Callithrix jacchus: one gene and its partner. The protein of the gene in region 2 binds, or shares a complex with, the protein of the main gene of each other region. Links are inferred from orthologs where the notes say so. Each region holds a gene or a part of one and is shown on either strand. Other genes may lie near its edges. The genes, in order: TNNC1 and TNNT2.

Region 1 (3,901 bases), on a different chromosome or scaffold from region 2:
CCTAACCCCAGCTGGGCTTGAGTGAGGGTCAAGGTCAGGGGTCAAGGGTCACGTGCTCACTTGTCAAACATGCGGAAGAGGTCAGACAGCTCCTCCTCAGATTTCCCTTTGCTGTCGTCCTTCATGCACCGAACCATCATGACCAGGAACTCATCAAAGTCCACTGTGCCACTGCCTGGGAGGCAGTTACAGAGGCCAGGTTGGAAACTGCAGGTGACTCAAGCCCAAAGAGTGGCCACAGAAGCCTGGCATTTGGTGTGAGGATGCAAATGCCAGGCTTCTGTGGCCATTATGCCCATTTTCTAGATGAAGCAACTGAGGATCGGAGGGGCTAAACCACTTCCGGCTAAGCAGAGCCAGCATCCCAGCCCCACGCTGGCTGGGCTTCCTCTAGAGCCTGGGGAGGAGGGGCTCACCATCCTCGTCCACCTCGTCGATCATCTCCTGCAGCTCCTCAGGGGTGGGGTTCTGGCCCAGCATCCTCATCACCTTGCCCAGCTCCTTGGTGCTGATGCAGCCATCCTCAGCGCCCAGCACGAAGATGTCGAAGGCTGCCTTGAATTCTGTGTACAGAGGTTGGGGGGCACAATAGCCAGGGCTCAACAGCCAGGACCTCAGAGGGCCAGACTCCTGGGGCCACCTGCCAACCTGCCCACCTCCCTCAGAGACCTCTCTGAGATCAGAGCAGAGGGACCTAGCCTTTGGTCTCTGGTCTGTGCTCCTCTTCTGGTAAGGGGTCCCCACGTTCCCCAGCCTGGTCTCCCAACCTGGCCCTGGTGGTCTCCCGCACGTGTGATAGGGGTTCTCACCATTTTTCTGCTCTTCTGTCAGCTGCTCTACCTAGAAAGGAAAGGGACTCTCAGGGCTCAGCCTCACACATAGCTGCTGCTGCTGAAACCAACCCATTCCACAGGTGAGAGCTGCAGCTGGGGAAAGCAAGCTATTTCCAGGCCACAGAACAGAGGTCTCAGTCCTCCCTCCCTCCCCACAAAGCCCTGATGTGCCCCAGCTAGCCTCACTAAGACTGGGCTCAGGGCCAGTGTGACAGGTGGGCACCCCCTTCAGGGCCAAGGTGACCCTCAGTAACAATAGTCAGTGACCACTCAATACCCTTTTGGCCCGTGATGAAACTCAAGCTGGGTGGCCCAAGGAACAGCTGTCCCTCAAGTTGGGACAATAAACCAATGTGGGGGTAGACAAGCTACCCACTGTAACCTGACCAGGGTGGCCACTGGGCTATTTTTAACGAGGAACAAAGTTAAACCTGGTGATTGTTCTGGGGACTTTGGCATGCAGGGGGTGGGGCAGTGTTATCTGGCCCCCTGTCCTACTAGTGCCGCCTCAGGAGCCAAAATTAGTCCCCAGCTCCGCCAGGCCTTGTATGGGCACTGGGTGGAGGGCTGCCCCCACCCCAGCTTCATGGACTCCCACAGGATAAGCAGGCATGCCCCCAGAGCTGGCTGTAGCCCTTCCCTGCCCAGAAGTGAGGGAGGCTGAGGGAGGGGTTCCCCTGGGGACAGCTACCCAGGCCAGGATGTCCTTGTTCTGGGGTAGTGGGAGGTCACCAGCATCCAGGAATGGAACAGCATCTCAAGTCCCTCAGTGACCCAGGAGGCTGCAGGGGCTTGGGGTGACCACTCTCTAGCCCTCATTCCCTCATTCTCACCCCCAGCTAAGCCACTGAGCCCTGAGCCTGCCAGGCACGATGGGGGCTGGGGCCTCAGTTCTCTGTCCCTTCTTCCTTGGTTCTCCCTCATGTCCAAAACTTCCCTGCCTCGAACTTCAAAGCCCCATCTCCAGCCCAGGACTCAGGCCCCTCCCCTCACACCCTCCACCCTCCAAAGCATCTTCGACCAACCAAAGGGCTGGAGTGGAGTGGCAGATTGTGAGTGTGTGAGAAGCAGAATGTGAGGGGCAGAAATGGAGGTTGGGGACAGGGAGACAGTAATAGGGACTCAGAGAGACAACTTAGGAGGAAGAGAGATGAAAAAAGAAAGGCAAAAATGTCCAGAGACAAATGCAGAGACATGTGGCTGAGAGACAGTGCCACAGACTACAGACACTTAGAAACAGAGTGAGACATGATGCTGAAAGTGGCGACCTCCTCCACCACCCTTCAGACCTCAACTCCCACCCCTTCTGCATCTCCAAACACCAGCTTCCCTTCAGACCCTGAGCCCCTACCCCTTCTGCATCTTCAAACATCAGAACCACTGTCCCTGTGAGGGCCTGGGTTGAAGGTACAGAGACTCTCTCCTGGGCCCCCACCGCTTCCTTGGGGCTACCAGCCCCCCATTCTGAGATGAGTGAGCCCCCAGTGGGCCTGCCCAACCCAGCCCTACCCAGCCCTGTCCCTCACCGCAGCCTTGTAGATGTCATCCATGCTGGTGGGTCACACGACAGCCTGCTGGGGTTGCCAGCCGGCCCTCGACTTAAATAGCCCTGCCCCCCCCCCCACACTGCATTCCCAGCCAGCCCAGCCCAGCCCACCCCTGCGTGTAGTATCCTCCAGCCCCTCCTCTGGGCCCAGTGATGTCAGGCTGGCCTGAGTCCCTGCGTCCTCTGCCCAAGGCAGGGAGCAGATGAAGTGCTACAAGAACCAGGTTTCTTTCGCTCCTGTCCCCCACACTCCCCAAGGGACTCTGAAAAGGTTTCTGGAATGAATGAAAGCATGAGCCCAGGGCAGGACAGGAGCCACAAAGTAGTGGGCCCCAGGCAAGGCCCCTGCAACACAGCAGCCCAGGCTCCCACCAACCAGGGAGGCCGGTGCTATGACCCCTACCTTCCAGATAAGGAAGCTGAGGCTCTGGAAGAGTGGTGGCTTGCCCAAGATAGCCCCTGCCTTTAACTCAGCCTCTCTGGAATGGGGTGCAACGTGCAAGTGGGGGTTGGGAGTACAGGGCCCTGCCAAGATAAGCCTCAAATCCCAAGCTCAGAGGACGATGCTAACCCACCTTAGGGCAGGGTAGTCAGGAGCCCTTCTGCCAGAGGCGCCTGCCCCAGACCTTCCATCTGCCCAGGGAGAAGTGCCCCCTTCGGGCTTCAGTCAGCTGTTCTGTAATTCAACAGCACCCCCACAGATGCCCCATCTGTGCCAGGCTCTCTCCCTCCTCACCCTCCAGTCAGGTTACCACCTCCCTCTTCTAGGTCTCATCTTCCCCTGGTTTAGGACTCAGTTCCCTATTCTAGCACTGTAGTTCGTGGGTCCAGGTCAACGTGTCTCCCTCCTGTTTTGAACTCTGACAGGCCATCCCGTGAGGTTCCTGTACCCATTGGCAGCACACACCCCTCCCACCTCCGTCTCCGCCCTCCTTCGTACAGAGCCCCGTCTTGATAAACACGTTCCTTGCTTCCAGCACTACTGCATGCCAGGCCCCGCATGAATCAACCCACTCCGTTGTCAAGAAGCCCCACTGACAAGAGCTCTCCGAGTCTCGGAGAGGTTCAGAACCGGCCCAGAATCACTCTCGCCCTACTCCAGCGATAAGCACAGGTTCTATTTCCACCTCCAGCCCGTCTTGCCCTAAAGAGAAAGAGCCCAACAGCCAAGTGAGGCGCCATTATGGCCTCCTTTATCCGGAGGAGTAAACTGAGGCCAGGAGGAGCAGTGACTTGCTTCGTGTTGCCTGGAGGCTCGGGACCTTCTGTCCTCTCTTCCTGAGAGACTAAGGGGCGATTCCCAGAGCGGTCACCACCCGAGAGGTCAGTTTCTAGCAGGCTGCGCAGGGTACCGTTGGTGGCCCCACGCAGGTAGAGATTACGCAAGAAAGCGCTGCGCACGCGCGCCGTGGGCGGTGCCTGTCAATCACGCACGAGGGGCGGGGAGAAGGCTCTGGAAGGCGGCCGGACTAAGATGGTGGCACAGCGCGCGGTGGGGGCGTGGGGCAACGGGGGCTGGGGG
Region 2 (3,801 bases):
GCATTTAGTGGGTGCCAGGCTCTGTCCTGAGCGCTTTCCCAGATATGAACCCCTAGGGCTGCTGCGAGGACATAATAAGTTAATACATGGGAAATTCTCAGAACAGTGGTCAGAACACTATAATAATGATAATAATGAGTATTATTATCTCTGTCACCCTCACCATCACCCTCCGAAGTAGGCTGTAGTGTTACCTGTGGAAATGGAGGCAAGCAACCGTGGACTAACTCAGCCAAGGTCACACAGCCAGTGAGGGGCACAGGTAGAAACTCAGCCCAGGCACTATGGCTCTGAAGTCCATGCCACTGTGGCCAGGCAATACAGCCTCTCTCCGTTTTGGGAGGTAGGAGCACCCTCCAGCCACTGGTGCCTGAGTCTACCCAGGGAGGGGCTCCTTGCCCAGGGAGGAGTGGTTTGGCAGGAGCAGCAGAGGAGACCCTCCAGGGGAAGCTGAATTCTTCCCTTAGTTAGCAAAGAGGCCCCGGGCAGGGCGGGGTTTGGAGGCGGTGGTGGCAGGGAAGGGCTGGCGCCTCTCTGAGCTCAGGTGTGCAGCATCAGTGTCCTCTAAGCCATTTCCTTGCCTGGTGTTTGTTCACCTAGGACCCTAGTTAGTGCACACAGGACCCTGAAAGGCTGTGCACTTGAGGCTCAGCCTGACTGCCTGCACCAGGGCCTTGGGTGTCCGTGGGGAGAAGTGCCTCCCCGGTGGCAGCCCTCCCCCTCCACTGGGGCTCCTAGCTTGGTGCATCCCGGTTCTTGTATCCAGCTCACTGCTCTGAGCTGCTGCCTTGACATGTTGGAGACTCCCAGGGTTGGAACCCCAGGAAAGTGTCTCTGCTCAGCCCCAGCAAGCTCTCAGACACTTCCAGCAAGCAGTCGCCAACACGGTGGACACGGAACCCTGCTGAAGGCCAGACAGCAGGGGCAGATGCAGGAGCTGAAGGGGGTTGGCGGGGAACAGGGACAGGGACCCAGTGACCTGCAGCAGTATTGCTCGGCCCAGTGAACCAGGAGCATGTGACAGAGGGGCTGTGGGGGGAACAGCATGGCGCCCCACCTCGTATTTCTGCTGCTTGAACTTCTCCTGCAGGTCGAACTTCTCTGCCTCCAAGTTATAAATGCTCTGCCACAGCTCCTTGGCCTTCTCCCTGCAGGGGCAAGGGCTGGTAAAGAACAGCCCTCATGGGACGCTGTCCTGGTCCTGGCCCAGCCCCAAGGGTCCCAGCCCCCATTCCCGCCTCCAGGCTTGCCGAGGGTACCCCAGCCCACCCCCTGGGCCTGGCCCAGCCTGGGGACCAGCAGCAGCTCAGGAACAGACACCAGGGGCTGCCAGGGTAAAGTTCTGAGAACACGCGGGCAGCAGGAGAAGCCCTTCTGGCACAGGACAGCATCTAGTTCAACCCCCGTCCTGACACCCCTGTGCAGGTGGGGAAGATGAAGCTCAGAGAGATGGGGTACCTGCTCACTTCTCTTTGCCCATCAGCAAAGCCCAGAAAGGAGCCGGCCCGACCTGCTGGGGGGCCCAGCGCTGGTCCCTCCAAACTTGCCATGGGAAAATATGTGAGGCAGTTGCGCCCTCTGGTGGCTCACAGCAAGAAGTGCCCTCAGCCCAACTCCCCCCCCACCCCCACCCCAACACACCCACCAGATGCGGGCTGTGCCCCAGGACCACTCCTCCCAGCCCCCACCTCAGCTGATCTTCATTCAGGTGGTCGATAGCCAGCACCTTCCTCCTCTCAGCCAGAATCTTCTTCTTCTTTTCCCGCTCAGTCTGCCTTTTCCCACTTTTCCGCTCTGTCTAAAGGGGGTGGGAAGCAGAGAAAACTGGCTAGACTGCCCCCTCCCTGTCCCCTAACCCTCCCCGAATCCTCTGGGGTGTGGAGCAAGCCTGCAGGAGGGCCAGGTTCTTACGCTCTTTTTCCTGCCATACCACGCACTACCAACTACATGCATTCTCTGGGGAAACTGAGGCAGGAGCAAGGAGGATCACGTCAGCCTCTTCCTCCTTTACTTAACTAACCTCTTCCACCTCTCACCAGCCTCCCCCCTCCCCAGCCAGCCCAATCTCTACACTCCTCCCCTCCAGCAAGGCACCTTCCCCTCCCAGGGAGTTCCGGACAACTACGGGGAGGAAGAACGTTTGAGGTTTTGGTACCCACCTGGGCCTGCTAAACCGGGAAACCATGAGAGAGAGGCCCAGAGAAAAAGACCGAGACCGCAACAGAGACACAGAGAGAAGGCGGAAGACAAAGGGAAGAGAGATACGGAAGAGAAGATTCAGACACTCGCTGTAGGCAGCCGGGCTTACTAGGACCTGGGTCTGGGGTTCACAGCAGCCTCTGTGGGGTGATGATGCCAAAGTCTTGGCTGGTGTGGTCACCATGGGGGCAGAGGCAGGGGTGGCCTAGTTCTGAGCTGGGGACTAAGCTGGAAATCTAAGGAAATGTTTTGATTCCATCACTACCTAGAGAAAATCAAGTTCACATAGCCCTGCTCCCTTAGGAACAGAGGATGTAGGAAGAATGGCCCACAAAATTAGGGACTGAGAGTGAGTTTCCAAGAACAAACAACCTCTGTGTGGCACGTAGATACTTTCCATGGTAGCTCATTTGAGCTTCTCAAACCATCGAGGCAATGAGTGCCGGGTGAGGAAACCGAGGCTCAGAGGTGCAAAAGGTCACGCAACTGTATGTGGCAGAGTGGGTTCTCCAGCCAGAGCTCTGACTCTTAGCACAAGGCTTTTCCAGCTGCACCCATCCTCCCTGGGGGCTCCTGAGCACTGCTGGGGCCAGATATGTGGTGCACCATTGGTGCTCCAGGCTCTGCCTGTAGCCCCTACCCTAGCAGGCCCCTCCTAGTGCAAGCCACACTCAGGCTGAAAACCAGCTCAGGGCCTAGGCATGAGGAGACATTAGTCTCCCACCTGCAGCAGCTGGGAATCTCTTCCTGGGTTCTGATCTAAAGTCTACCTGCTGCAGTGGACAGCTCATTCTTCAGGGCTATACCAGGTCCTCCTGGGGACCCCTGCTGCTCCCCACCTACCTTCTGGATGTAACCTCCGAAATGCATCATGTTGGACAAAGCCTTCTTCTTCCGGGCCTCGTCCTCAGCCTTCCTCCTGTTCTCCTCCTCCTCTCGCCGAGCCCTCTCTTCCTGATTTACAGGGAGGAGGAAGAAAGCAAATTAGGGAAAGGATGGGAAACCGTAATTCTGGGCTGAAGCTCTTGGTCTTTATGGGTGAGTTCAGCCTTCTCCCTGCTGGGTAAGGAGTTTTCTGAGGGGGTAGCTCCCAGCACAGCACAGGAGTCCACTGAGTGAGAAATGATGGCACGAATGGATAGGTCCTGATGCCCTAATGCGAGGTCTCATCATCCCCTCAAGCTGGGAGTGCCCCAGGAAGATCTGTTGCTCTGGAAATGCCTTAAGCAGCTGCACAGGAAGAGAGCTACAGGGCCTTCAGTCTGCACTGGGGAAGGGGTGAGGACTGGAGAGTCTTATCAAACCACATGTTCATAAGGACCAGCCATTCCGCTCTTGTTTGCTGATGTATTATCGGAGCCAAGACAATGCCCAGCACTTCCTAGGTTGATGTTGTCTCTTGATTGAATTCATGTTGATGAATAGAGAGGGGCCTGGGAGCCCAGCAGGAGCTGGGAGCATGGTGGGGGGCTCTGTGGGCCCAGGCTGGGCGTCACTCACAGCCAGGCGGTTCTGCCGCTCCTTCTCACGCTCATTCCGGATGCGCTGCTGCTCGGCCCGCTCGGCCCGACGTCTCTCCTAAGGAGAAGAGGCAAAGCCCGT

Evidence for each region.
Region 1: the proteins of TNNT2 (region 2) and TNNC1 are in contact, whole or in part, in a crystal structure (PDB 1J1D), measured with the Homo sapiens proteins. The link is inferred for Callithrix jacchus from reciprocal best matches to the Homo sapiens genes TNNT2 and TNNC1. Residues at the interface, in NP_001263274.1 of Homo sapiens: Gln266, Tyr269, Asn272, Val273, Asn276, Arg277, Asp280; in NP_003271.1 of Homo sapiens: Asp99, Phe101, Arg102, Asp105, Ala108, Asp109, Gly110, Tyr111, Arg147, Tyr150, Asp151.

The regions. Positions count from the first base shown.
Region 1 is NC_133516.1:34,982,412-34,986,312, forward strand, and holds the start of TNNC1 (troponin C, slow skeletal and cardiac muscles), read right to left. Parts: upstream 2,410-3,901; 5' UTR 2,384-2,409; coding exon 2,360-2,383; intron 841-2,359; coding exon 810-840; intron 564-809; coding exon 417-563; intron 176-416; coding exon 61-175; intron 1-60. UniProt on the Homo sapiens protein: Troponin is the central regulatory protein of striated muscle contraction. Tn consists of three components: Tn-I which is the inhibitor of actomyosin ATPase, Tn-T which contains the binding site for tropomyosin and Tn-C.
Region 2 is NC_133520.1:28,373,928-28,377,728, forward strand, and holds part of TNNT2 (troponin T, cardiac muscle), read right to left. Parts: intron 3,778-3,801; coding exon 3,700-3,777; intron 3,154-3,699; coding exon 3,043-3,153; intron 1,799-3,042; coding exon 1,689-1,798; intron 1,149-1,688; coding exon 1,058-1,148; intron 1-1,057. UniProt on the Homo sapiens protein: Troponin T is the tropomyosin-binding subunit of troponin, the thin filament regulatory complex which confers calcium-sensitivity to striated muscle actomyosin ATPase activity.